Linked DNA regions of Stegostoma tigrinum. The protein of the gene in region 4 interacts with the protein of the main gene of each other region in a pairwise test. Links are inferred from orthologs where the notes say so. Each region holds a gene or a part of one and is shown on either strand. Other genes may lie near its edges. The genes, in order: c23h8orf33, lamtor5, pfdn1 and git1.

Region 1 (7,375 bases), on a different chromosome or scaffold from region 4:
GGGCCATGGTCCTCTTTGCACCATTTTTAATGACCAGTAAAACAATGAAACTAACTTAAAGCCAATTTAAGCCAGATGGACCCTTAAAAGTTGCATTGTTAAAAAAATTTTCATTAGACCTTTGTGTAAGTTGCATTAAAATTTGGTTTTGTGGTGTGATAATGCACTGTGGTGCCCACTGGTCAAATGTCATCTATGTAACTCTTTATAACTACTCTAGGCATCTAGTCACGCGCAGGTGATATCCCTGCAACTTCACCTCCAGGAGGACACAGTATGCCCTAACACACTGGTCACACATTAAGGACATATTGGAACTGACAACAAGACTACTAAAGACCACTAGAAATCGTGGTGGTTCACAAACCCAAAGCCACTCTTTTCGTCAAACACTCATGGATTTAAAAACCCCATTCCCACAACATGCAGAACCAACATAGTTTACAGAATACCATGCAACGACTGCCACAGACATTACATTGGACATGAAGGATACTAGCCATCAGAATACATGAGCATCAACTAGCAACATAATAGCACGAACTCTCCTTAATATTGTCACAGTCAGACAACGAAGACCATAAGTTTAACTGGGACAAGGTAACCACAGTAGTCCAAGCCAAACATAGACATGCATGGGAATTCCTAGAGGGAACGTTCTCCACCCGTAATGCAATCAACAAACACAATTGGACTCCATACACAAACCCATACAGAACAAAAACAAAAATGACACTACTCACCATAACGGACCAAACATTATAAATACCAAACAGAGCAGAATAACACCACATCAGAGGCTCCACTGATAATGTCACCTAGCATGGTAAAAATCGTCTGAACAAGAACAAGCCACCTCAGCGATCAAGTCAACAACCTCACACAACCTGAGCTACAGATCTTGCCAAAAAAAAACCTTGAACACACAGACCTTAATGACTATATGCTGAATGTTGCTGTGCTATGTTCGTTAATTTTCATTAATTTATTTTACAGCTTTTCTCATGTTGAGAACATTTGCTGGCAAAGGAGCCATTTATTACCCATCTTTAATTGCCTTGACTGTGTGGTGGAAAGTTCAAATTTGAACACATTGAAAAATACTATTGCAGTTCTTTGCTTCCTTTTACATATATGCAAGCCAGCAAAGTCATGTTCTGTTTTTCGTGTGAACTTCATTCTGTATTACATACAGACTGCATTGAATGCTGAAATAATTTTAGTGATTTTATACAAATACATTGGTTCACAGGCTTGGCAGGAACATAAGAAAAACAAAATGAAAATTAATACACCCATTTTAATTTTCGTGCTTCCATCTATTTGATTTGGACCAGAAGGATTTCTGTTCACTGCTGCTAGTTGTGGCTACTCTTGGCAGGCGATCTGCTGGCATGGCATGCCACACCTGTCAGTCCCACACATCCACTGTAGATGTGGATTTGCTACATGTCATTAAAAGTTGTAAGTTACATATTTCTTTGTCTGAAATGCTTTAGTATTTGGCCATTCATCGCTGTGAGTGCAGTAAAAAAAATTGTGAAAATGATTCCAGCACACTATATCAAGGATGTTGGTGAGGCTTCTTCTGGAAGACTGCGTCCAGTTCTGGTTGCCCTGTATTAGGAAGGATATTATTAAGCTGGAGAGGGTTCAAAAGAGATTTACCGAGTTTTGCCAGGAGTGGAGGGTTTGAATTATGGGGAGAGGCTGGATAGACTGGGATAATAAGGTGTAGAGCTGGATGAACACAGCAGGCCAAGCAGCATCAGAGGAGCAGGAAAGCTGATGTTTCGGGCCTAGACCCTTCTTCAGAAAATTTTGCCAAAGAACCAAAGAATCTGTATGACTCTTGATTATATTCTATGAATTCAGTTATGTAGATAGATTGGAGAAATTGGACTGTTTTCCTTAGAGAAGGTGGATTTGATTGAAGGTATTCAAAATTGAGAGGGGTCTGGACAGAGAAATGGGGGAAAGATTCCTATTACTGGGTAGCTCATGAACGAGAGGGTACAGATGTAAGGCAATTGGTAAAACAAGTAAAGGTAACATGCTGTATGAGGAGGAAATGGAGACAAATTTAGATGGAAGTTTGTTTATTATCTGTAAAGGAAGAGTATGCATGGCTGAGGAACAGGTAGGCTGGTGACTGTAGATGAGCTGCTCCTCCAGAGGTAGCACAGGCACAATAGGTCAAACAGCTTTCATTGTTGTTACAGAATCTTAAGGAGGATTCAAGAACAGAATTCAACAAGATGGACTATGAAGTTCTTGAGCAAGTTAACAAAAGAAACAAGGGGGTATTGAAGAGTTTGGTGGGTTTAGAAGTGGATATATACTGGGGTTTGGAGTTGTATCCCAGGCTACTGTGGGAGAGGAGGGAAGAAATTGCAGGGGCTCTGATGTTTCAATCATCTCCAGCCACAGGGAGAGGTGCCAGAGAACTGGAGGACAGCTAATGTGGTTCCACTTTACAAAACAGGTTGTAGAGATAGACCTAGAAACTATAGACCAGTGAGTATAACAAACTTCCTTCTAAAGTTGATGAAGGGTCTAGGCCCAAAGCATCAGCTTTTGTGCTCCTAAGATTTTGCTTGGCTAGCTGTGTTCATCCAGCTCCACACTTCGTTATCTAAGGAGGAATTAACCTCCTTTTAGAAAGGAAAGGTCTGATTAGGGATAATCTACATAACTTTCCAAGAGGGAGGACATATCTAACAAAACAGGAGGAATATTTTCAAGAAGGTGACAAAATATTTGGATAAGATAGAGCAGTTGATGTAGTTTACATGGATTTTGGCAAGGTCCCTCATAGCAGACTGATAAAGGTAAAAGTTCATGGGATTCAGGGTAATTTGGCAAGTTAGATCAAAAATTGACTTAGAGACAGCAATAAGAAAGTGGTGGTAGAAGGCTGTTTGTGTGACTGAAGCCCAGTATGCAGTGGTGTACCACAGATCAGTGCTGAGTCCCTTGTTTATAATATTCACAAATGGTGCAGAGGGAGAAAAATAATAACTTTGTAGCTAACAAAATGTTGGCTGTGGTTGGCAGTGAAGAGGAACTTGTCAAGTTACAAGAAGATAAAACTGGATTGGTCAGATGGGCAGATCAGTGCTGATGGATTTAACTGTAATTGAGAGGTGATGCACTTTGGAAGGAGGAACAAGACAAGGGAGTACTCTACCGGCAAGATACGAAGAAACTCGTAGGAAAAGAGAGATCTTGGGTCCTTGCTCACAGATCTCTGAAGACGGCATGGACAGGGTGGATAGAAAGCAGACGTTCTCCTTAGCTTAATGGTCAATAACAATGAAGCATAGCACAGGAAAGTGACACCAGTGTAGGTGGTATTTTATCTTTGGCAGTACAGACTCAACGGGTTGAATGACCTGTACTGCATGATTCTAAGGCAGTAACTCACCCTAGAGAAGGGTAACACTTCAACGTCCTAAGTGAGAGGTCAGGATTATTAAACTGATAACTAAATTACATTGGAAGGTTTGTATGTCAAAATATGAAATCAATTGGTGGGAGTGATGTCTGAAAATCAACAACTGGTTACCTTACTCCGTGCATTTTTATCCTTTAATTCCTACTTGATTGTATCAGCAACAGAAGAATGTGAAGGACTGGGGATCTAATGCACTGGACGGAGAAATCCTGCTTAAATGTCCAGTCTGCTCAAAAGTTCATATTGTACGTAACCAATTTGTGAATTGACTTTGCCAGTTTCACATTTGTGGCAGAGTATGTTTGATCAGTGCTAAATCACCTTTATGCATAACCTGGAATTTAGAAAGTGAATTCCCTTAAAAATATTCGCACAAAATGTGATTTGCTGGTAAGTGACTGCATGAGCAGTATTTTCTGAAACAAACAAACAGTCACAGAACACAAAATAGGAGGTTAAAAACAATTTTTAAAAAAAGAGACAACATGAGAGGCTTATTAGGGAAGAAACATAGAAATAACCGGGAGAAAACCGAAAATAAGAGGCAAGGCTGTTCTGAAAATGCGAAAGTGCAGAGCTTTGTAACATAGATCCACTGACCAGAACCGGAAAATAGAAACAGTTTGCCTATTATGTAAAGGTTGCATTTCATTCCCCGGCTTTGAATTTTTTCTGAATTCGAGAGCATTGAAGTGAGAAGAAAGAAAAAACATTCCAAATATTGGATAACAGACAGTAGACGAGAATATTCTGGAACTAGTTAATAGGCCAGACTGGAATGTACAGAGCTCTTAACCAATTCCAATGCATCCTGCTTTGCTTCGATTGTCACATGAATTTGTTCCCTCCATAATGGCGGCTTCCGGAGGTGTCCCACTGATGTAACTGGAAAGTGGTCTATCACTGAACCGGGGGAACAAATTGAACGACGGACACAGAACACCCGATTTCCGGTGGTGGCTGAGTGCCGAGAAAAGGAGAGTCTGAGAAACCTATTTCTACGGTTTCTTGTGAAACTTTGAAGGGTACGCACTCTCGACTAGAACCTTTTGAGATGACAGCCTCAGCTATTGTCAGACTTTTGTGGGTGAAATGATTCACAGTCGAAAGCTCCTGGTTCTAGAGCTTCACGTGGTTGGAAATGTAGATCCTGTCTTTTCCAAACCAGCCCCTACCTTTGGCATAGACTCTCAATCAAAACATTACGCAGGAGGATGTCCATCTGTCTGTGATGATCAGTGATCTGAGATTATCAATAAGTACAGGAACACCAGGAACCTCACGGGCTGTACACTGTATTCGAACGGGGTAACTCCAACCGGAGAAAACTATCAAAGCGACACGGAGATAACAAAGTGTGAAGCTGGATGAACACAGCAGGCCCAGCAGCATCTCAGGAGCACAAAAGCTGACGTTTCGGGCCTAGACCCTTCATCAGAGAGGGGGATGGGGAGAGGGTTCTGGAATAAATAGGGAGAGAGGGGGAGGCGGACTGAAGATGAAGAGAAAAGAAGATAGGTGGAGAGGAGAGTAGAGGTGGGGAGGGGATAGGTCAAAGAGGTGGGATGAGGTTAGTAGTTAGGAGATGGAGGTGCGGCTTGGGGTGGGAGGAAGGGATGGGTGAGAGGAAGAACAGGTTAGGGAGGCAGAGACAGGCTGGGCTGGTTTTGGGATGCAGTGGGGGGAGGGGATGAGTTGGGTTGGTTGTGTGATGCAGTGGGGGGAGGGAACCAGATGAAGGGTCTTGGCCCAAAACGTCAGCTTTTGTGCTCCTGAGATGCTGCTTGGCCTGCTGTGTTCATCCAGCTTCACACTTTGTTATCTTGGATTCTCCAGCATCTGCAGTTCCCATTATCTCAAAGCGACACGGATACCCTTTTAGCAAGCTTTCAACCTCGATCAACATCTTAGTAACAGGCACCAGTAGGAGCAGAGAGCTGGCAAGATTGTAGGGATTTTTTTAAGTCAACTTGTTCAAGATACAATAACATTCCTCTGGAGCTTGTACAACCTGAACCTGGGCCTCCCAAATCTGAGATAGAGACAATATCACTGTGCCTCACAGCTCCTTGCTAGTGTGATTTTATAGTGAGTCTTGTCTTTTCCTTCAGGTGCACAGATTGCTGCTTTGGGGAGGTGCCCAGGCTGCCAATGATCTGTTAAGCTGTTGGAGGTGTTTTGGATACTTTAATGGAGGAGGTGAGTGATTACATTATCGGAATTAAGACTATTCTAAGCTCTCTTTTCTCCTGACCCAGTTGCATGTTAATTGATTACTGCCCTACTCGATAGGGTGGCGGGCAATGTATTCACCAAAATGGTTAGGGTATGAACTGGGCCAGTCCTTTCATACAATTTCTTGAATATTTGTATATACAGGGGATGCAGCTTGTTGTGTCTTTGCCTGATTATCTTGACAATATGATTTATGAAAGGGAAATCATGTTTAACAATTTTTTTGAAGCTCTTTGAGAAAGTAACACGCTATGGATACAAGAGAACCAATGGATATGCTGTACTTTAATTACAAGAAGGCATTGATAAGGTGCCACATCAAAAGTTACTGCAGAAAGTAAAAGCTTGTGGTATAAGAGATAACATGTTAAGATTATAGTTAGAAGATTGTCTAGCTCATAGGAATCAGTAGGCATTCATGTCATTTTCTAGTTTAGCCATTGTAACAAGTGGTGTGCCATGGAGATCAGTGCTGAGTCTCATCTTTTCAGTTTGTATAAATGATTTGGATGAAGAGAAAGAAGGAATCATTGTTAACTTTGTTATCATTGCTAAGATAGTTAAAGTGAAGAGGATATGGCTGCAAATATTTATAGATAGGTTGAGAGTGGGGAAATAGCTAGCAAATGTAATATAATCTGACATAATATGAAATTATCCATTCTGGCAGGAAGTATAAAACTTTATCTAAATAGTAAGAGATTACAGAGCTCTGAGAGTGATTTTTGCTTCACAATGTATTTCTAAGAATATATTAGGAGTGCTAATGCAATGAATAGTGACACTTTAATATCACAGCACAGATTGTAATTATTATTACTTCTTGCGTGTGTTGAATATCTATTATGACTTCTGTTTAAATACTTGGATGGGAAGTGGATATTGTTACTCATTCTTAATTTTCTAGACCTGTTTTCTCAATGCTGCTTTACTATTGTCGCTCACAGATTGGTTCGCTAAAGCTTTCTGTCTGTTACAGAGCCTCAACAAGAACATCCAGGTGGAGCTGGATTGTGGGATCCAGCAACAACAGACTGGGGTCTCCCAGCTCAAACTGTCATCACAACAAGGTAAGCAGTCAATCCCTAGTGGACAGCCCAGTGTTAGTAGGTAGTGAGGGGATCTGGTTGGTGATGTCATGCTAACTGGTTTATAATTTCCTATTTTGGCTGTCAGTTCTTGAATAAAGAACTTCTTTTCAGTTCTGATGGACCCCAACCTGAGCGCATGCACTGTGAACCTCATCTCTCTGTTTCAGAGTTTTGAGGGAAGCTTTTTGTTCTTGGTAAAACCAAAACTTCCAGCTAACAAAAACATTTTCAAAAAAGAAAATATAAGAGTGTCCCTATCCTGAGATGTGGTTGATGGCTAAGATTATAAGAAACAGGCTCAGGATTAGGCCTTTAGGCCATTTGACACTGTTCCACCATTCAGTAAGTTCGTGGCTGATCTGATGTTGGTCTTAATCCTATTTTCCTGCCTGCTCTCATAACCCTCAGTTTCATTATAGATGAAAAATCTGTCTAAAGTGGCCTTGATTATAGTTGGTGACTTAGTCTCCACTGCAGGCTATGGATGAGAATTCCAAAGATTAATGACCGACTTCAGAATAATGAAAGGAATTGACAACGTTCATGCAGATAGGAGGAATGTTCTCACTGCTGCCTGCCTCCTGAGGCTGTA
Region 2 (7,762 bases), on a different chromosome or scaffold from region 4:
ATAGGGGTTGATTACAATATGTAATGTTGTAATCTTGGAAAGCCCTTTAAACATGCTTCTCATTGGTTAGGAGAGTCAAATGGAGTAAAATAAACAACAATTTAAAACAGCCACAGACATACCAGAAATCCAACCAACAAAGTATCATTATTCTAAAATGAAACTGGGACAACATGAAAGAGTAGAGGGAGATTTACACTGTACCTAACCTCATGCTGTCTCTGTCCTAAGTAAGTTTGATGGGGACAATATAGTGAGAGGTTTACTTTCTATTTTTAAGAGTAGAAAGAGTTTTACTCTGTATCTACACCCATGCTGACCTTGTTTTGGGAATGTTTGATAGAGAGGGTTTGCTTTCTGTTTAAGAGAGTAAAAGGTTTTACACTGTACCTGACACCAAGCTATACTTGTCTTGGGAGCGTTTGATGGGGACGTTGTAGAGCAAGCTTTTGTCTGTATCTAGCCCCATGCTGTAGAAAGGTCATCATAGAATCAGCAGTGTCATTCCCACAATTCTTCACATTATTTATTAATTTCTTTGATAATGGCATATAAAGTCATAAATAGAAAGCTGATGACACAGTTAAATGGCATTTTAGACAGTGTAGATTTTGGCAATAGCATCACAATGGGGTATCAACTGGGAGAAAGGGCAAAGCTGGCTAACAAAGTTCAATGTAAATAAGTGTGAAGTTACCTACTTTAGACCGAAAAATGATAGATCTGGGTGCTTTCTAGATGGTATGGAGTTAAATATAGTAGATGTTCAAAGACGCTTGGGGCTTCTGATGCATACATCTATAAAATACCACAAACAAGTACAGAAAATATTCAAATATCTAATGAATGTTGGCTTTTATATCTAGATGGATGGAGTACAAGGATATAGAAGCTATGCTGCAGTTACATCGAACCCTGGTTAGACTGCACTTGGGAGTACTGAGTGTGGGTCTGGGCACCAGGCTTTGGGAAGGATACATTGGCCATGAAGGGAGTACAACATAGGTTTACAAAAATGATACCTGAACTTCAGGTTTAAGTAATGAGGAGAGATCAGACAAATTATACCTGCACCTGAAGGTGATGATGATGATGATGATGACGCTCAGCCTCTGCATTAACAATAGAGCAACCTCAAAAACTCCTCCCCCATAAAATCATCTTGACGATTTTTCAAGATTAGGCATTAAATTTATCTTTATTTCATTATTAGATGTGAATTAAACATTTATTTAAACTGCGCTTTCTTTTGTATTATGCTTTTGAGTGATACTTTTTGACGGTCTACCCCTAACACCGCTTTTCCCATTGGGCCCATTATTCCTACAGTGTGATTTTCTGTAATGCAATGTTGCGCAGGAATGCAACTATTGTGTTACAATAGATCTGACTGTAGTCACTGGCTGCCATTTTGGCAACTATCCTTTCAACCTGATTCTCTGCTTTATACCAGTCAGCCAATCCTCTATCCATGCCATACTTTGCCCTTAACACCAAGGGTTCTTGTGCTATTTAGGAACTTCCTGTGTGGCACCTAGTTAAAAGCCTTAAGACTATAACATATAGGATAAGAATTAGACTATTTCAGCATCAGACCTGCTTCACCATTCATGTCTGATATGTTTCTCAACTCAAGTCTCCTGCCTTTTCCCTGCAACCTTTGATCTCCTTATCAATCAAGAACTATCAATTTCTGTCTTAAATACACACAATGACGTAGCCTCCACAACCCTCTGCAGCAATGAGTTCCACAGATTCACCACCCTCTGGCTGAAGGAATTCCACTTCATCTTAGTTCTAAAGGGTCTTTCCTTCACTCTGAGACTGTCGGTCCTAGCCTCTCCCACTAGCGGGAACATCCTCTCTATTAAAAGGTTCTCAGTATTCTGTAAGCTTCTGGAAATTTAAATAGATCACATCCACTGGCTCTCCTTTGTCTAACGTGCCTATTGCCTCCTCAAAGAATTCTAAGATTTGTGAAGTCATAGAGTTATACATCACAGAAGCAGATCCTTCCATCCAACTAGAACATAGAACATAGAACAATACAGCGCAGAACAGGCCCTTCAGCCCTCGATGTTGCGCTGGCCTGTGAACCAATCTAAGCCCTTCCCCCAACACTACCCCATCATTATCCATATGCTTATCCAAGTACCGTTTAAATACCCCTAATGTGGCTGAGTTAACTACATTGGCAGGCAGGGTGTTCCATGCCCTTACCACTCTCTGAGTAAAGAACTTGCCTCTGACATCTGTCTTAAATCTATCACCCCTCAATTTGTAGCTATGCCCCCTCGTCCAAGCTGAAGTCATCATCGTCGGAAAAAGACTCTCACTCATCCAGGTCAACCAGACATCCCAATCTGAACTGGTTCCATTTGCCAGCATTTGGTCTATATCCCTCTAAACCCTTCCTATTCATATACCTAAACAGATGGCTTTTAAATATTAGAGATAATGGGAACTGCAGATGCTGGAGAATCCAAGATAATAAAATGTGAGGCTGGATGAACACAGCAGGCCAAGCAGCATCTCAGGAGCACAAAAGCTGACGTTTCGGGCCTAGACCCTTCATCAGAGAGGGGGATGGGGAGAGGGAACTGGAATAAATAGGGAGAGAGGGGGAGGCGGACCGAAGATGGAGAGTAAAGAAGATAGGTGGAGAGAGTATAGGTGGGGAGGTAGGGAGGGGATAGGTCAGTCCAGGGAAGACGGACAGGTCAAGGAGGTGGGATGAGGTTAGTAGGTAGCTGGGGGTGCGGCTTGGGGTGGGAGGAAGGGATGGGTGAGAGGAAGAACCGGTTAGGGAGGCAGAGACAGGTTGGACTGGTTTTGGGATGCAGTGGGTGGGGGGGGAAGAGCTGGGCTGGTTGTCTGGTGCAGTGGGGGGAGGGGACGAACTGGGCTGGTTTAGGGATGCAGTAGGGGAAGGGGAGATTTTGAAACTGGTGAAGTCCACATTGATACCATTAGGCTGCAGGGTTCCCAGGCGGAATATGAGTTGCTGTTCCTGCAACCTTCGGGTGGCATCATTGTGGCAGTGCAGGAGGCCCATGATGGACATGCCATCTAGAGAATGGGAGGGGGAGTGGAAATGGTTTGCGACTGGGAGGTGCAGTTGTTTCTTGCGAACTGAGCGGAGGTGTTCTGCAAAGCGGTCTCCAAAGCCTCCGCTTGGTTTCCCCAATGTAGAGGAAGCCGCACCGGGTACAGTGGATGCAGTATACCACATTGGCAGATGTGCAGGTGAACCTCTGCTTAATGTGGAATGTCATCTTGAGGCCTGGGATAGGGGTGAGGGAGGAAGTGTGGGGGCAAGTGTAGCATTTCTTGCGGTTGCAGGGGAAGGTGCCGGATGTGGTGGGGTTGGAGGGCAGTGTGGAGCGAACAAGAGACCACCCGTGACTCCCTTGACCTGTCCGTCTTCCCTGGACTGACCTATCCCCTCCCTACCTCCCCACCTACACTCTCTCCACCTATCTTCTTTACTCTCCATCTTCGGTCCGCCTCCCCCTCTCTCCCTATTTATTCCAGTTCCCTCTCCCCATCCCCCTCTCTGATGAAGGGTCTAGGCCCGAAACGTCAGCTTTTGTGCTCCTGAGATGCTGCTTGGCCTGCTGTGTTCATCCAGCCTCACATTTTATTATCTTGACTTTTAAATATTGTAATTCTACACACCTCCACCACTTTATCTGGCATCTCATTCCATACACACACCACTGTTTGTGTGAAAAACACATTCTTCAGGTACTTTTAAATCTTTCCCCTCTCACTTAAACCAATGTTCTCTAGTTTAGGAATCCACTTTCCCTAGGAAAAAGACCTTGACTATTCACTCTTATCCATATTCTTCATGCTTTTATAAACTTGTGTAAGGTGTCAGTCCCCAGCACTCCAGGGAAAAACCTCCAGCCCATTCAGCCTCTCCCTGTAGCTCAAACCCTCCAACAGTACCAACACCGTTTGAAATCTTTTCTGCACGCTGTCAAGTTTAACAATATCCTTCTTAAATTAGGGTGGCCAGAATTGTACGCAGTATTCCAAAAATAGTCTCAGCAATGTACTGTACAGCTATATACTCCCAAATTTCCACCGTCCCCAATCCCTTCTGGTGAGCGTTGGCCACTACATTCTACCCTGACTCTCCGGAACTCCTTCTGTCCCTGCAATCAGCAGGTCGTGCACACCGCCCAGTCCAATGACCGGGCGATCAGGGGGCGGGGCTAGTGTAGGGGTGGGGTTAGTGTAGAGGGCGTGGTCAGTATTGGGGCGGGGTTAGTGTAGGGGGCGTGGTTTAGGCAAAGTGCGGCGTTCGTACAGGGGGGAGGGTGTGTTAAGGGGGCAGGGTCAGTCAAAGGGGTATGACTGCAGGGGCGGAGTTAACGTGGGGGGCGGGGTTAGTGTAGGGGGCAGGGATAATACGAGCGGTTCTACTGCAGATGAGGAGTCAAGGAAGGGGGCGGTGTTATTGCAGGGGGCGGGGCTAGTCCGAAGGGCATCACAGAGGGGCAGGGTAATTGTGGGGGTGGCGTAGAGAAGGGGGCAGGGAAAATAGGAGGGGTTCTACTGCAGGGGCGGGGTTAAGGTAGGGGGCGGTGTTAGTGCAGGGGGCGGGGCTAGTCCTTGGGGTCCGAGGGGAGGGAAAAGGATGCCAGGATGGAGGGGAAGGAGGGGGAATGAAGGTGGGGAGGCGGGGTTTTATTGCAGTGGCGGGTCAACACTGGGTGAACAGGCGGGTAAACGCGGGTGTACCGCCCACTGGTGACGCTATTTCCGGGTAACCCTTGGGTAGTTCCCGGATGTGAAGAATGGAGTCGGCTTTAGATTCCCAACTTCGAGAGACGTGAGAGAGAAATAACATTAAACACATAAATAGTCAATATAGGGAGATAATCTTCAAAGTAAATTCAGGGGAAATCGAGAGTGAGAGAGAAATAATTATAGAGTCAGAAATAACATTAAATATAGAAGGGGAGGGGGAGGGGAGAGAAATTGTGGTGAGGGGGGCAGGGGGGATGAGAGCGGGGGAGAGGGGGAGAGGAGGGGGAGAGGGGGAGAGGAGGGGGAGAGGAGGGGGAGGGGGGGAGAGGAGGGGGAGGGGGGATGAGAGAGGGGGAGAGGAGGGGGAGGGGGGATGAGAGCGGGGGAGAGGGGGAGAGGAGGGGGCACGGGGCAGGGGGGATGAGAGCGGGAGAGGAGGGGGCAGGGGGGATGCGAGGGGGAGAGGAGGGGGCAGGGGGGATGAGAGCGGGAGAGGAGGGGGCAGGGGGGATGCGAGGGGGAGAGGAGGGGGCAGGGGGGATGAGAGCGGGAGAGGAGGGGGGAGGGGGAGAGGAGGGGGGATGCGAGGGGGAGAGGAGGGGGGATGCGAGGGGGAGAGGAGGGGGGAGGGGGGATGCGAGGGGGAGAGGAGGGGGGAGGGGGGATGCGAGGGGGAGAGGAGGGGGGAGGGGGGATGCGAGGGGGAGAGGAGGGGGGATGCGAGGGGGAGAGGAGGGGGGAGGGGGGATGCGAGGGGGAGAGGAGGGGGCAGGGGGGATGAGAGCGGGAGAGGAGGGGGCAGGGGGGATGACAGCGGGAGAGGACGGGGCAGGGGGGAAGAGAGCGGGAGAGGAGGGGGCAGGGGGGATGAGAGTGGGCGAGGAGGGGGCAGGGGGGATGAGAGCGGGAGCGAGGGGGAGAGGAGGGGGCAGGGGGGATGCGAGGGGGAGAGGAGGGGGCAGGGGGGATGCGAGGGGAGAGGAGGGGGCAGGGGGGATGCGAGGGGGAGAGGAGGGGGCAGGAGGGATGAGAGGGGGAGAGGAGGGGGCAGGAGGGATGAGAGGTGGAGAGGAGGGGGCAGGGGGGATGAGAGCGGGGGCGAGGGGGAGAGGAGGGGGCAGGGGGGATGAGAGCGGGAGCGAGGGGGAGAGGAGGGGGCAGGGGGGATGAGAGCGGGAGCGAGGGGGAGAGGAGGGGGCAGGGGGGATGAGAGCGGGAGCGAGGGGGAGAGGAGGGGGCAGGGGGGATGAGAGCGGGAGCGAGGGGGAGAGGAGGGGGCAGGGGGGATGAGGGCGGGAGCGAGGGGGAGAGGAGGGGGCAGGGGGGATGAGGGCGGGAGCGAGGGGGAGAGGAGGGGGCAGGTGGGGTGAGGGCGGGAGCGAGGGGGAGAGGAGGGGGCAGGGGGGATGAGAGCGGGAGCGAGGGGGAGAGGAGGGGGCAGGGGAATGAGGGCGGGAGCGAGGCGGAGACGAGGGGGCAGGGGGGATGAGGGCGGGAGCGAGGGGGAGAGGAGGGGGCAGGGGGGATGAGGGCGGGAGCGAGGGGGAGAGGAGGGGGCAGGGGGGATGAGGGCGGGAGCGAGGGGGAGAGGAGGGGGCAGGGGGGGTGAGGGCGGGAGCGTGGGGGAGAGGAGGGGGCAGGGGGGGTGAGGGCGGGAGCGAGGGGGAGAGGAGGGGGCAGGGGGGGTGAGGGCGGGAGCGAGGGGGAGAGGAGGGGGCAGGGGGGGTGAGGGCGGGAGCGAGGGGGAGAGGAGGGGGCAGTGGGGGTGAGGGCGGGAGCGAGGGGGAGAGGAGGGGGCAGGGGGGGTGAGGGCGGGAGCGAGGGGGAGAGGAGGGGGCAGGGGGGGTGAGGGCGGGAGCGTGGGGGAGAGGAGGGGGCAGGGGGGGTGAGGGCGGGAGCGAGGGGGAGAGGAGGGGGCAGGGGGGGTGAGGGCGGGAGCGAGGGGGAGAGGAGGGGGCAGGGGGGGTGAGGGCGGGAGCGAGGGGGAGAGGAGGGGGCAGGGGGGGTGAGAGCGGGGGAGAGGAGGGGGGCAGGGGGGATGAGAGGTGGAGAGGAGGGGGCAGGGGGGATGAGAGCGGGGGCGAGGGGGAGAGGAGGGGGCAGGGGGGATGAGAGCGGGAGCGAGGGGGAGAGGAGGGGGCAGGGGGGATGAGAGCGGGAGCGAGGGGGAGAGGAGGGGGCAGGGGGGATGAGAGCGGGAGCGAGGGGGAGAGGAGGGGGCAGGGGGGATGAGAGCGGGAGCGAGGGGGAGAGGAGGGGGCAGGGGGGATGAGAGCGGGAGCGAGGGGGAGAGGAGGGGGCAGGGGGGATGAGGGCGGGAGCGAGGGGGAGAGGAGGGGGCAGGGGGGATGAGGGCGGGAGCGAGGGGGAGAGGAGGGGGCAGGTGGGGTGAGGGCGGGAGCGAGGGGGAGAGGAGGGGGCAGGGGGGATGAGAGCGGGAGCGAGGGGGAGAGGAGGGGGCAGGGGAATGAGGGCGGGAGCGAGGCGGAGACGAGGGGGCAGGGGGGATGAGGGCGGGAGCGAGGGGGAGAGGAGGGGGCAGGGGGGATGAGGGCGGGAGCGAGGGGGAGAGGAGGGGGCAGGGGGGATGAGGGCGGGAGCGAGGGGGAGAGGAGGGGGCAGGGGGGGTGAGGGCGGGAGCGTGGGGGAGAGGAGGGGGCAGGGGGGGTGAGGGCGGGAGCGAGGGGGAGAGGAGGGGGCAGGGGGGGTGAGGGCGGGAGCGAGGGGGAGAGGAGGGGGCAGGGGGGGTGAGGGCGGGAGCGAGGGGGAGAGGAGGGGGCAGTGGGGGTGAGGGCGGGAGCGAGGGGGAGAGGAGGGGGCAGGGGGGGGTGAGGGCGGGAGCGAGGGGGAGAGGAGGGGGCAGGGGGGGTGAGGGCGGGAGCGTGGGGGAGAGGAGGGGGCAGGGGGGGTGAGGGCGGGAGCGAGGGGGAGAGGAGGGGGCAGGGGGGGTGAGGGCGGGGAGCGAGGGGGAGAGGAGGGGGCAGGGGGGGTGAGAGCGGGG
Region 3 (7,274 bases), on a different chromosome or scaffold from region 4:
TTGATGATAATGGCCATGTCTTTGAAAGGTATATTCGAAGCTATCTTTGAGAATTTCTGCAATGTGTCTGGTGGTGGATGTGGTGCTAATCAAGCAGGCAGTTTTGCTGGATGGTGTCATGCTCCTTGAGTTATTGGAGCTGCACTCATCCAATTAAGTGGGCAGTCACACCATCACAATCCTGACTTGTGCCTTGTTGACCATGGATGCCAATTAGAGTCAGGAGTTGAGTTACTCTCTGCAGGGTTACTAGCCTCTGAACCTGTAGTTACCCACATTATTTATATGGCCAGTTCAGATCATTATCTGATAAATGGGGCCCCAGTTTGTTGACAGTAGGGTTCAGTGATGGTGGTGCCATTGAATGTCAATGGTCAACTTCTCTCCTGTTGGGGGTGGTCATTGCCTGGCAATTGTGTGGCATACATGTTTCTTGCCACATGTCAGTCCCATACCTGGATATTGTCTACATCTTGCTGCATTTGGGCATGGGCTGCATCAGTACCTGAGGAGTTGTGACCGGTGCTGAACATTATGGAATCATCAGTGAACACCCCCCACTACTGATCTTATGATGGAGGGAAGATCATTGATGCAGCAGCTGATGATAGTTGCACCTGGGACATTAACCTGAGGAACTTCTGCACAGAATTCCCGAAGTTTAGATGACTGATCGTCGACAACCCCAGCTATCTTCCTTTCTACCAGGGATGATTCCATTCAGTGGAGAATTTTCCTTCTGATTCCCATTGACACTAGTTTTGCTATGGCTCCTTGATTTCACACTTGATAAAATGCTACTTTCATATCAAAAGCAAATGGTCTCACTTCACCTCTGGTCAGGCCTTTTGTCCATGTTTGAGTCAAGGCTGTAATAAGGCCAGGAGCCACGTGGCCCCGGCATAACCCAAACTGTGTCAGTGAGCAGTTTATTGCTAAGCAGGTGCTGCCTAATAGCACTGTTGATGACACCTTCCGGCACTTTGCTGATGATTTAAAGTAAACTAATGGAGCGTTAATTGGTCAGGTTGGAATTGTCATTTTTGTGTACAGGACACACCTAGACCATTTTTCACAGTGTAAGGTAAATGCCAGTCTGGCAGCTCTACATGGAACAGCTCAGCTAGGAGCAGACCAAGCTCTTTACTATAAATATTCAGCACTACTGCCAGAATGTTGTCAGAGCCTGAAGCCTTCAAAAGTCATAAAAGAATGGGCACTTAAGTAAAATGTTGGAAGGCTGCAGGTATGCAGTGAACTGTATTACGGACTGAGTTAATGTCACTAAGAAAAGAAGGCAAAAGATAGAAGAAAGATGTTTTTGATACAAATTACTTATGAATATGAATGCCAGCAATTGGAATGTTCTGCCCGATGGCTGTTCTCTTTGTGCATAACTTAGGGCTTTTCATATTTTGGAATCTTCAAGACGGTCTGTGATAACCTCTTAATTTTGTCGTGTCAAATATGACATTTGTGCTACACCTACTCATTTCTTCGTGGCTTGCAGTGAGACAATATACTTTTCATGTGGTCTAGCTGGAACTTTGATTCTTAAATGCAATAGAGACCTCCTCCACAAGCAATTAGAAGGAAAATGTTTTGTGTACAGGCCACAGAGAATGCATTGTCTAAACATTTAAATTAAATGCATGTAGCGGTAGGTTTCAAAAGATTTTTAAAATGCAGTTTGACATTGTGCCGTAGTTGCACCATCTGCGGTGACAAATCAAATTAATCCGATCTTTAAATTTACAGTACAACTTCAGTAATACTTGAACAGTGAAAACTGCTTAGTAGAATGCTGATGTTGTACTGTGAATGCGACTTTAGATATTTTTTTGTCAACGCAGCCTGTGATGACTTCTAACTCCCAAAATAAAGGTCAGCTGTAATTAACTTTACTGCTGTAGATTGGATTTCTCTGAATACGTTCACCAAATTCATAGGAAATGTTTTGCTGGCACAAGAACATTCTGCTTGATTGAGGCCAACTGGGGTTTTTCCAGAATGATATATAGTAAGAAACTGCTTACTTTCTTCATGAACAAAGTGGTTGTTCATCCTGTCCTGAAATCCTGAACTAGAGCAGTAAAATTGAACAATGTCACAACAAGTTAGAAATTAGAGTAAATCTTTCCTTTGCTCCTACCAGCTTTGACATGAGCTATCACAGGAAGTGAACCCTGGTAACATGAACTCTGAATAACAATTAGTCTTGTATTATAAAGTTATAGTAATGAGGTTGGACTCACTTATGCCCAGTTAAAGGTTGCAAAATACTGACAACATTCATATCACACTACACTGAAAAACGAATTTTAAATGTGGTGATGACATTTGAAAATTTTTTGGTTATGAATGGAGAGTTCCAAACACTCATAACCATCTGAGAGCAAGGCAAGGAGACAGCTCATTACCGCCTTCTCAAGAATACTTAGGAATGGACAATAAGTGTTGTTTCAGCCAGCAAAGCTCACATTCCATGTATGAGTCAAGGAAAACATTATGCAGAGAGGGTGTAATGCAGTCGACGACTTTCTTGTTCAGCTGGTAAGTTTGTTTGCAGACGTTTTGTCATCATACTGGGTAACATCATCAGTGTGCCTCTGGTGCAACGTCGGTGTTCTCTCCCGCTTACTATTTATATGTCCCACTTTCTTGGTATGAGTGACATCACTTCCGGATTTGGTTCTTAGTGGTTGGTATATGGGGTCCAGCTCTACATCATTGTTAATGAGTCCTGGTTTGAGTGCCAGGCCTCCAGAAATTCTCATGCATGTCTTTGGTTGGCTTGTCCTAGCTTGGCTATGTTGTCCCAATCGAATTGGTATCCTTCTTTGTCCAGGTGTACTGAAATGAGTGATAGTTGGTTATGTCTCTTGGTAGTTAATAGGTGTTTGTGAATCCTGATGGTTAGTTTCCTTCTGGTTTGCTCCGTATAACGTTTTTGGCAGTCTTTGCATGGTATCTTGTAAATAACATTGGTTCTGTTAGTTGTGGTTGTGAGACCCTTTCTTTATTATCAGTAGCTGTCGCAGTGTAGCTGCCGGTTTGTGGGCTACCATGATTCCTAGGGGGTGGAGTAATCTGGTAGTCATCATGCAAAGGCTGCCAAAAACATTTCATACGGCAAACCAGATGGAACCTCCCCATCAGGATTCACAAACACTAACATTATCGCTACACCGCTATCTTTTCCTGCTGTAAAGTACTAGGGCAGCAGATATCTTATGCAAACTCAGGAAGTGATTGGGTGGAGGAGCAACGTTATGCTGCTCATGTATCTTGAAGACGTGGTAGGATTGCAGTAATGTCAATGGTCTAGTAAACCAGAGGCCCATGGCAACGCACTGGGGAAATAAAAGCTGAAAGAACTGTGGATGCCATAAATCAGGAACAAAACAGAAGTTGCTGGAAAAGCTCAGTAGGTCCAGCAGCATCTGTGAAGAAAACTCAGTGTTAATGTTTCGGGCCCAGTGGTTCTTCCTCAGTATGTAATGCACTGGGGACATTTGTTTGAATCGCCACTACAGAAACCGATGGAACTTAAGTACAATTAATAAATCTTGAATTGAAAACTAGTCTCAGGTAAGAATCATGAACAAAAACAAAGTTGCCGGAAAAGCTCAGCAGGTCCGGCAGCACCCGTGGAGGAGAAAACAGAGTTAATTTTTCGGGTCCAGTGACCCTTCCTCAAAACACAGGATCATGAAATAGTCCTTGATTGTTGCAAAAACTCACCTTGCTCATTAATGTTCTTTAGGTTGAGGGAAATCTGCCATCCTTACCTGTTTTGGCCTATGTGTGATTCCAGATCCCATTGGAATGTGATTACCCTTTTAACTGCCCTCTGAAAAGGGCAAGCAAGCCACTCAGTATAAAGTGCAATAACAAATGGACAATAAATGTTGACCGGGTCAGTGATACCACAACCCATCATGTTAAAAAAAAAACTGGCTTCCCAATGTTTAAATTGGTGAAATAATGCTGCTTCATCTGGATGATGTTATAACAGGAAGTGATTCTATATTGAAAAAAAGGTGGTGCTTTCACTAGGGAACAAGAGATACCAATTACTTCAACAAAGCGTCACTTCCCTTAGAAGGTTAACCTGACAGAAAACCAGGGTCAAATCGTATCTTCTCAACTACCTAATCAACATGAACCAGTTGTTTACAAAATGTAGAGAAACTTAAAGCAAACAACGTGTCCAAAGATTGTGGAGACCTCAGAACTGCGCCAGTTCCGGCACACAAGCCTGACTGTGCACATGAAGGGGCTATGAGAACGTGAATACACCATTCGGCTACTTCTGTGGACGGAGAACAGCGGTAGCGTTTCGAGTCCGATGTGACTTTTCTTCAGAACTCAGGAACTTCCTAAACACTGACTTCTGACTCGAAACGTTAGCTCTGTTCCTGCATCCACAGACGCTGCCGGAGCTCAGAGGAAGGGTCGCTCGACCTGAAACCTTAGCCCTGACTTCTCTCCACACGGATGCTGCCAGACCCGCTGAGCTTTTCCAGCAATCTCCGTTCCACGTCGCTGCTGTTTGTTTTTTAACTTCAGGTTTCCAGCATCCGCAGTATTTTCACTTTGATTTGATAAAATGAAATCGGAAACCCGCTTCAATCGAGCATTGTTGTGTGATATTAGACGGGACCCAAGAATAAAAACCACATGACAGTGCACATCGAACTCTCTCGCTGCTCCTCCTCCTCGCCGCCGGTAAGGAGCGGTCTGCGCATGCGCTCATCCTCTAAAGATGGCAGCCCCCGTGGATCTGGAGTTGAAGAAGGTACAGGAAGACACAGGGGTCTCATTGCTTCGCGTTTTTATCCTTTTTTGATGACCGATCGCTGGCTTTAACTTTCTCAGAATAAAAGGCACATGTTGTGGGAGGGTTTTAGCATTGATTTGTTTTCGGTGGTTATTAAAAGTGAGTGGTTGGTGCAGGCCTGGCTGCGCTGGAAGTCTTGCCCACCCTGTTGAGTTGAAAATTTGCCATGTGTATAATCCATAGACAGCAATAACACGATTTCTGACTTATTTTGGAGTGAGATATTTCTAGAGTGTTAAAGAGTACAAGATGTTATCACTTTTGTGTACTGTTGAAATGCATTTATTTTCCTTCATGTCAGATCTTACCTGTTGTCTTAACGATTATGGTTTACGCCTTAATATTTTAAAATTTTGGAAGCGCACCACAACAAGTAAGTCAGTACGATCGGTATCTGGACAAATACCGATCATTTTGGACGGGTTTGTTCACGGGTCGTCTGTTTTAAGTGTTCCTATAAATGTTCAGATTTTAATTTCCTAAAGTGTTTGTAATATTGTTTATTATCTGAATTAACAGAATTTTTATTTTCTTGTCAATTTCTATCACACTCAGCATGGTTAATTCGGCAAACTCACTTTTTAAAGTAGACAGTTCAAAGACCTTTGTGCTCAGAGGACGATGCAACAATAATCAGTTATTCAGCAGTTCTTTTTTAAAAAAAAAACTGAGGATGAGGGTGTCACCCAGAAGGCTGCATTCACTGTTCATCCCTAGTTGCTTGAGAAAATGGTGGCTTTCACCTTGAACTGCTGCAGTGAATGGTACATTCACTGTGGTGTTATATAGAGAATTCCAAGATATAACCAGTAACAGTGATATTTTATTTGCACTGGGATTATGAGTGATTTGGCAATAATGCTTCACTGCTTCTTTTGCTCATGTGGTGGAGGTTTATGGGTGCCAGACTGTTAGTATAACCATGTCGAGTTGCTATTATGCGTTTGTAGACTGAATTTACTGAAGCTAGTGCCTGTGATGGAACAAGTGGATGTGAACCACTGTGCCTGGGGGACCTATTTAGTGAACTGTAGCATTGTGAGTTACTTCCACTATCAGATGTGTGTTAGAATAAACAGTTTATGTAGTAAATGTAAAATTTGTGGGCACAGACTGGATTACATTGAGGTTGCAACGACAATAAAGTCTGTTGCTTGTGTCATCTGGATGCATTAATGCTATTGTATTGGCACAACCAATCGTTGATGGACTATCTTCTTTTCTTTCAGCTTTTTCCCATATTATGTTGGGTCACTGTACTTTAATGTCAGTCATCCTTTGGGATTTGGCAGTTGATTTTACAGCCAGATGCTGTTTCTGTCGCTCACTGTTCTCATTCATCTGGGGGTTGGGAAACTCAGCACGGTTCACCAGGCAAACTCTTACATTTAACCCCTGGCTTGAGCATGTTGGAAGGATTAAACCTCTCATGAATGGCATCCCACCTATGGTAGCTTGACTTTGTGGTTGTTGTGTCGATAAGACTATTTTATTGCAGGAACATTTTTTTTGAAAGACATTGTCCAGCTGTATTACTATTACTACTATAATTATTGATATGCTGTTTAATTTGAATGCAAGATTAAAATAATTAGACCCTTGCCTTTCTATCTTGGCATCCAGGACTTTAGCAGGATTACATTTGAAGTGTTTGGTTTGCACACTGCTGTTCACCAAACTGAAACTCTGTCACGAGTTAATTTACACATGGTTCCGTCATTGGTATTGACTGCTAAAAAAAACTTAGGCTTTTGTGTTCGTTTCTAGAAATTCATGAGAAAAGAAATGAACTGTGGAATCATATTTAATTTCTTATGAATTTCTTTTGAAAAGCTGGAAGTTCAGAGTTGTATGTGAAATTAAGAACTTCAAAAGTGCTTTATATAAGGCTATTACAGGTTTTTAAAGGAATGATAAAGTTGCATGCTTGAAAATTATAGTTAGTGAAACTTTAAGTGAAGGGATTGAGAAAGTAGACAGATTTAAAATCGGTCCTTTATATAGGTACAGGAATAGCTCTCTGAGACTGCTTGGTCATTTATTACGATCATAGTCGATAGAATGCTTTCATTCCTTTTAACCACACTATCTCTATAACCCATTTGCCATTGGTAATAAGAAATGTATCAAACTTTAAATGTACACCAATGAATGGTCTTCTGTAGTCATTTGAGGCAGAGAATTCCAAAGATTCACCACACTGTCAGGACTCATGATTTTTTTGTTACTCAATGGCTTCCTTTTTTTTTTGTTGTACTGCAGTTCTGGACTCCCCAAACAGGATGAACATCTTACCTGCATGCACCCTGTTATCTCCATGAGTGTTTTGTAGGCTTCTTTGAGATCATGTCTCTTCTTCAAAACTTTTGAGAATATGTGGCTAGATGAAGATTCTGTAATTACTCTTAATGTTAATAAGTAATGGTAATTT
Region 4 (7,276 bases):
CAACTGATTCTAACTGCGAACGCTTGGATTATTAAACGGTACACAATTTCATTGACGTCAGACCCAAAACTTCAGACGCAAAAGCACAAAAAACTATTTACTCTGAATAAAATTTCTGCAGAAATTCCCTTGAGTGACTTCAAATTTATGCAATTAGTAGTCTCAAAACAGGCTTTATATATCTTCAAACAGCTCAGTAGTTAGGAATCTGAAGATATCATTATATCCCGAAGATATTCGCACATTTACCGTAATTTTAAACAGCAAAGGCCCAATTCCCTGTAGATATTTGTGAGTAAGGGGTACATGGGTATAGAAAACAAAGTTTGTGAACCAAGTCCATCGTCTCCTCCCGTTCAGGCAGTATCTGCAATCCCACAGAAGTATCAGCTCCATGTTCCTGCTGCTAATCGATTATCTTGTCTGCGTGATACATTTGTTACAATTATCGGCCAAATGGGGGCTATATGGACAGGGGCTGGCTGGATTATTGATAGACACCCCGATCTAACTTGGGCTTCAATGGTAAGGAACTGGCCGCTGTTTGCCCCTCTTTTTCTGTTTTTTTTACAGCAGAAACCGCGATTTGGAACATATTTTGCAATGCTACACAAGCTCACACGCGTCGTACAAGAACGCTGATGCAAACTGATTGAGGTAGACCCCCGTTTTCAGGGAGATAGACGAAACCATCACGGTGTTGTGGCTGTTTCAGATCGGACCCGGTCATCGCCAGCCGTGAGAAATTCAGAATCCCGCCACAAACCACCCCCGCCCCCAACCTCATCTCGAACTCTGCATTCTCACTCCATTTACCGGAGGCTTTGTACACCCAATTCCTAACATAATCGTTCCCAACTCTGTCCTAGTAATTGCTTGCAGTATTTCAGACTTTGTGCATTCTCGGAATACACTGAGCGTCCTCTAGTTCCTGCATATAGCTAAAGCCCCATTCAGTGACACCGTGTGCCAGCGGCTTTTCTCCCAGTTCTATAAAGGATGCGTGAAACGTGTTTTGCTCCGTTTGCTGCATTTCCGGTCCAGAGTCATGTTGACCTCCTGTATTTTCACCTGTCAGTTGCGGATTGTGGCGGGAGGCCAGGCCAGCAAGAGGGTCGGTGTGTGCTACTTCCACTTTACCGTCACAGTTGCCCTTACAAGTTGCAACAGAACGGGTCGGAAGAATGCGGAGATGCATTTGCTGCACATCACAAGCAGCGGAGCCCTTCCAAAGGCTTCGGCTACTTTTAGGGTGGGGTGATTTGGTCTTTTCCAAAAAGGGTAAAAACAGTTTTGTTTTATTGATTCCCAAATGGTAGCCAGTTACTACCGTGCCCACAGCTCCAATATGATCACAAGGGAATGTCAGTTGCATTCAGCACCTTAGCATGAGAACAGTTTCCTGGTCACGAAGGCTGTATTTTGTGCTGTAACCGTTTACTCAGACTCCGCCTCGGTGTAAATCGGAACTCGCTCAAGAGAGATGGAATAGTTCTGCGCCTGATTTCAACAATTCAAGTTCAAGTAAAAACCAACTTCTAAACGGGAAGGAAGACCAGTATTGTGTCTTGTGACTCCCAATCTTACCGTTTCTGGCACAAACGTAAAATACTGGAAATGCGAAGTGAGCACGGGAAAAAAACTGGAAAATCTCAGCGGGTAAGGCAGCCTTTGGAGACAAACAGTGACCCTTTCAGGTCGATGACCTTTCACCAAAATTCTGGAGAGGGCCGTGTTAATTCCGCTGCACGGAGGCTGCCTGACCTGTTTAGTTTCTGATTACTGATCACCCATCACCCAAAAATTGGAACTTACAGCACAAACCGAACAATGTGCTTATTCACATAGGTTTTGTGAACTCACTGCATCCAGTCTTTTTTTTAAATGTATAAAATCTGAGCTGAGTCTGCATATGGGGACGGACAATTCTGGTTAAAGAGGTTCGGTTTATATTACTGACTTTATCTCGCTAACATCTGTCGAATATTCTTTATTGCTTTTTCTAACAATTATTTGACATGGCGGTTGAATAAAATAATGTGATACTGACATTTTAATGAATACACTAATTTCCCTGTTGCTTTTCATTTCTACACCACGTAACAAATTTCCACTGTCTCAAAAATCAATCAGATTGGTTTGACATAGAGACCATGCTTGGAAAAGCGATGTTTCAGTGTGCCGGGCGCGGAATGGTTGGCGCCTGTGTGATTAACTGTGCATTCAGCTCTTTAAAGCGTGCAGCCACAGAGATGACAGTCCCATCCTTTTTTCTGGCCTCTTGTATCAAGTGTCGGTCGGAGCCATTGTACACCGGAGAAACTATGCTAAAACGACATCCAGACTCGAAAGGTTTCTTACAATTCATCAAACATCGTTTGATTCTAGCCGGAAAGCTACATCAGACAGCACGACAGAACCTTGAACGATATTTATCAATTTGATAGGAAACAGGTGCAACCCTACGAAAATATTTTTTGTATCTGCACAGTTTGGAACTAAATTGAAATTCCAGATCTTCTCAAAAGAAGTTTATGTGAGATAATTAAACCAGGGTCTTTTAGTTTGCGGTTTATTTTGAACCCAATCTGTGAGCTTGTAGTTGCCTTACTTCCACAGAACATTTATTTTGACAGACCAACATGCTTTTCTTTTCATACATACACACACACACACAATATGGCAACTTCCTTTTGGAGACCGACTGATATTGGAACCCATTTCAGGATTTCGTTTTGGGTGTTAAAATGGGCATCAGGATTTACGGGAATATTTTAAAGCACTTGGCATAATCTTCTTTCCACTACAGAACACATATGGTTCCCGTATTACTATGGATGCCTCATTTCCATATAAGATAGTAAGCGGAGAATAGTAACCACACATTTCGTCTTTAAGTGACCGAAGAAAATAAAGACTAAAAGTCAATATATAATGAAAACTTCGCGATCATGATTTTTAATCCTTATTGGAAGAAGCATATTTAAACAATACATAACCCAACGAAGGAATCAGCTAATTGTACGGCACTAGCACAATTCCATCCAACCTAATGCACGAAAACGGATATGGTCACAATTCGGATCCAAGAATATTTTTAATGTAGAAAAAAATAGATTATCTCCAATTCTTCCGACTGACAGCATTTAATTTCCGATTTATAATTAAACAGCGACTTGTCTATGTTCCTGCATCTGATAGCATTTAGTCAATTCCACTTGCATTGCACCACCCCATAAATACACATACACACACACATCACCCACCTGCTTGGTGCTAAGTTCCTTTTCCAGATCCTTGTATCTATTATGCCAAACCAAATAATGCAACGGATATTTTTCTGCCACCCTTCTCGCAGAAATCATTCTGATATCATTCTTCTCTTCCAGATAACATGCAAACTACCTTTGCAGCAGATAGTCAAACCCCTGGCAACAGGCACCAATCCCTATATTGCTCGGCAGCTGAATATCGGACGATAGGAAGCGCTGTAATTCTTGCTTTAACTGTGTGGGAAAAGAGGAAGTAGGAGAAAATCGAAGGGTGAGGAATTACCAAGTTACTGTGGGGGAAATATGCAGGTTGAAAATACGTATGGAGCGTAGATTTCAAATAATATAAAGAAAATCTACAACGTGGCCAATTAGCATGTACTACTGATTTTTTTCCGTTCATCATGAGTACCAATTAGTGAGAAAATGCAGTAGTTGCGCATTTAAATTTATTACCAACCCCATTATCTATAATATTGGAGATGCGCTGTTTTAAAACCTCCTGGGAGCTGTAGTTCGTCCGTTGAGGTGATAAATATTAGTGGGAATTTGCAATTTAAAATGAGCTACATGTTTTTGACCAATTCCGGGGAAATAATTTTAATATGTATGAATATGGGTAGGCAACTGAAAGTGCTCCGTTCTGGGCAATGACATCACCCTCGCACCAGCTAACCGGCGAGAACTACAAATCCCAGCACACCTTGAGGCGGGTTACCGCCTCCACGTCCCGCCTCCTGTTGGTGCTCGTTCCTTCGCCCAGTGTCTACCAAACTTAGCGGCTGATGAGGGCTGATTGGCCTGCGGTGACGTAATTGGGAAGCAGCGGCTTGTCTATTGGGCAAGCCTGCTGCCAGTCAGGTGACGGCGCTGGGAATCCCACCAGCAGCAGGTTGGGCTGCGCTGCGCGGGCCGGGTCTTGTCGTCATTTCCTGGTTGCTCTGGGAATGGGGGCGGGCGGGGGAAAGCTGCGGTTTTCCAGTAACTTGTCTCGAACCGGATGCGTCTGCGCTAAACACACTGGCCCTGAGAGATTTGGAGACCTGGCGGTGTCGGAGGAGGGGCTGGAGAGGTAGCGGGGTTTGGGGTAAGGGGAGGAGGTGAGCGCTGGGAATAAATTAGCAGAGACCGGGAGAATCATCATCATCATCATCGAGGAGAGCAGAAATGTCCCGAAAGCTGCGGCCCAACGAAGTGTGCGCCGACTGCAGCGCGTCAGGTACGTGACTCGGTGAATGGGGATGAGAAAGAGAGTGGTGGTCAATTCGGGAGCCCGGGGAATCAGCCCGAACCCCTTCCCCACCCCCCCACCAACCCCCTCCCCATTTGCTTCTACAGGACGACGGGGTCCGTGGGGCAATACGGTTTGGGGGTGTTAGGGAGGAGGTGGTGGTTGCTCTGATTTGGGGCCTGTCAGGTCAGTCGGTCGGTCAGCGGTCGGCAGTCAGCACCCAATCCCTGGCACCGGTTGCCAGGCGGTGGGTTTTCGGTCAGCCATTTGTGCCGGGGATTGGAAACTGAACTGAGAATCCTGTGTCGTTACATGTGGAGAGGATGGTCCATTTCGGCTTGGGCTGCGTGTGTGTGTGTGTGTGTGTGTGCGCGCGCGCGCGTGTGTGCTTGCCTCTTCCTTCCCAAGTGTTTAGTGGCCACTTGTGAAAGTCTTGTTTGGAAACGTCAAGTTCCCGGTTGCAGTATTGGCTATTGTCCCAAGGCTGACCAGTGATAAACCGGACACAGTAACCGGTTTGATGAACTCGCGATGCCATCCCTAAGAAACCAGTGATTCTTTGTGATCGAATTGCTGTATGCAACGACTTTGATTCTACTCTACTGAGAGTCTTAATTGATGTGTAAAACTTTTCATTGGTATCTGATTTATTGATTCAAAACGATCTGACCCGAAAACTTAGCCATCTGTTTCACTTTTCATTTGAGGTGGATTTCTAATTATTCGCATATAGATCAAAAATAGGATTCGGTCCATTTTGAAGTGTTCTATTTTGCGATATTCACTGAGTTACATAACAGCGGAGGCACAATTGCAAGTTGATTGTCTGCCAGCTGAGCTGTGATTTAAGTTTGTAGGAGATATCAGATCTAATTTGGCACACATCAAATCTGTTGGAGTGAGCTGTATACTTTTAAAAGGGAGTTTGCAGTAATTGTGATTATGCCAATTGAATATTATGTTTATCTTTAGCTATAATTCAAAATTTGAAGTTTACACAATATAATAGATTATAAATCATGTTGGCTTTCTCATGACACATGTTTGAATTCTGAAGTTTTATGGTAATTTTGACAGTTGAATGTTATTTCTGTTTTCTTTTAACCCTGTAAAAATGAAATCAACTCACTTATTTCTTGAGGTTATTTGTGTTTGGTATCATCTCTGTGCATATTTGGTATTCAAAAATAAACTACACACTTGAATGGTCTTGCTGTCAACCATCATGTTAATCTAGCGCTAAGAAGAGGGTCCAGTGTTGCGCATGTTCCTATCCAAGGTGCTGCCCCAGTAGTTGACTGCAGTGGATAGGGGAAATTATGCAGTTGGGACTACTTAGTACAGTTGTAAAATAGTGAATTTGTGAAAAGCCGAAAGGAGAGCTTATGATGTAGGTTTATAAGATCTCTTTTTTTAAAAAACTTGTTATTGATGGCGTGACATCTACTGCTTTGAGCTTTGTATGCTGGTCTTATGCATCTTTTAACTATTTTTACAGTTTTTAAAGTCAGAGTAATTATGAACAATAATGTGCGATGTTCTGTTAATGCATTTTTAAAATTAAAGCTTATGTCAAGTTTTCTATTAATTCCAAGCACTCACTGCACATCCTGAGACTGTCTTTTGTGTTTTTAAGTTGAGATGTGTGATTTGAAAACATTTGCTATGGAAAATATTGTTACATATTGTCCTGTTTTATATGTAAATTATTTGTATTTGAGTGACTTTTTGATGGAAGATGGGAGCACTTACAACTAAATGTTGGGGATGTGGAGGAAGAAAGTTTTTTGATTATTCATGTTATAGACAATTGGAGTGGATGGGAGAATCGTTAGTAATATTCCATTTTGGAGTTCTGTCACGCATCAAACAGAGGAAATTAACATAAATTTATCAAAATATTTTTAAACATCTCGAAATCAAAACCATTGTCTCCAAGAAGGGCGAGAAATTCAGATATCCTCCAGGCCAAGTGTGTGTGTTAAGCAAGAGATGTAGTTGCACACCTACACAAATATTTGGAGTTGAAAAGGACATAGCTGTAAGCAGTGTGGATTACATCAAACACTGGGGAGGAAAGTGTAACCAGAGCATTTAGCCCATCAAGTCCACACTGACCCTCTGAAGAGATTATACTAGCTGTGGGCTATTAAAGTTTATTTCCAAATATCATTAAAATGTCTTGTTTCCTAACAACTAGTTTATACATCTTACACTTTTTAATCATAGAATCCATACAGTGCCAAAAAAGGCCATTCAGCCCATTGAATCTACACTGACCCTCCAAAAAGCATCCCACCAACCTATTTCCATAACTCCACATTTACCAGGGCAAATCCACCTAGCCCAAACATCCCTCGACACTGCAGACAATTTATAATATCATATAATACAATACAATAACCTCTGAGCCATTGCACTATCTGGAATAACATAGATTTGAACACATGATCCAGTGAAGCATTTCCAGTTGGGCAATTGCAAGCCGTTGTCTCATTACTTGTAGTCATATTATGAAAAATAAACCTGGCTTTCAGGAAAAAGAAATGAAGCCCAAGTCCTTATTGTTGGAGAATTTCATCTGTTGATTCACTGGTCGCTTAAACCTTTGATCAAAAGTGTAATGAATTATAGGCCTCCATTCTGTGAAGTATACTTAAAATCTTAATTTTATAATGTGGGTTACTTGCCCAATTAAGTCTGTACTGATTACTCTTGCTATTTAAACGACTTGGTCTAATTTCCACATCTACTTCCTCATGCATCTTTTATT

Evidence for each region.
Region 1: the proteins of git1 (region 4) and c23h8orf33 interact in a two-hybrid assay, tested with the Homo sapiens proteins (2 studies listed by BioGRID and IntAct). The link is inferred for Stegostoma tigrinum from reciprocal best matches to the Homo sapiens genes GIT1 and C8orf33.
Region 2: the proteins of git1 (region 4) and lamtor5 interact in a two-hybrid assay, tested with the Homo sapiens proteins (2 studies listed by BioGRID and IntAct). The link is inferred for Stegostoma tigrinum from reciprocal best matches to the Homo sapiens genes GIT1 and LAMTOR5.
Region 3: the proteins of git1 (region 4) and pfdn1 interact in binary tests that used the Homo sapiens proteins (3 or more experiments, as listed by UniProt). The link is inferred for Stegostoma tigrinum from reciprocal best matches to the Homo sapiens genes GIT1 and PFDN1.

What each region holds. Positions count from the first base shown.
Region 1 is NC_081376.1:31,555,857-31,563,231, forward strand, and holds the start of c23h8orf33 (UPF0488 protein C8orf33 homolog), read left to right. Parts: upstream 1-4,357; 5' UTR 4,358-4,482; intron 4,483-5,568; 5' UTR 5,569-5,647; coding exon 5,648-5,656; intron 5,657-6,671; coding exon 6,672-6,762; intron 6,763-7,375.
Region 2 is NC_081374.1:828,275-836,036, reverse strand, and holds the start of lamtor5 (ragulator complex protein LAMTOR5), read left to right. Parts: upstream 1-4,745; 5' UTR 4,746-4,808; coding exon 4,809-4,843; intron 4,844-7,762. UniProt on the Homo sapiens protein: As part of the Ragulator complex it is involved in amino acid sensing and activation of mTORC1, a signaling complex promoting cell growth in response to growth factors, energy levels, and amino acids.
Region 3 is NC_081366.1:38,410,678-38,417,951, forward strand, and holds the start of pfdn1 (prefoldin subunit 1), read left to right. Parts: upstream 1-4,261; 5' UTR 4,262-4,768; coding exon 4,769-4,801; intron 4,802-7,274. UniProt on the Homo sapiens protein: Binds specifically to cytosolic chaperonin (c-CPN) and transfers target proteins to it. Binds to nascent polypeptide chain and promotes folding in an environment in which there are many competing pathways for nonnative proteins.
Region 4 is NC_081380.1:31,329,342-31,336,617, forward strand, and holds the start of git1 (ARF GTPase-activating protein GIT1), read left to right. Parts: upstream 1-4,268; 5' UTR 4,269-4,439; coding exon 4,440-4,491; intron 4,492-7,276. Other genes in the region: ankrd13b (ankyrin repeat domain-containing protein 13B), read right to left, coding at 3,267-3,365. UniProt on the Homo sapiens protein: GTPase-activating protein for ADP ribosylation factor family members, including ARF1.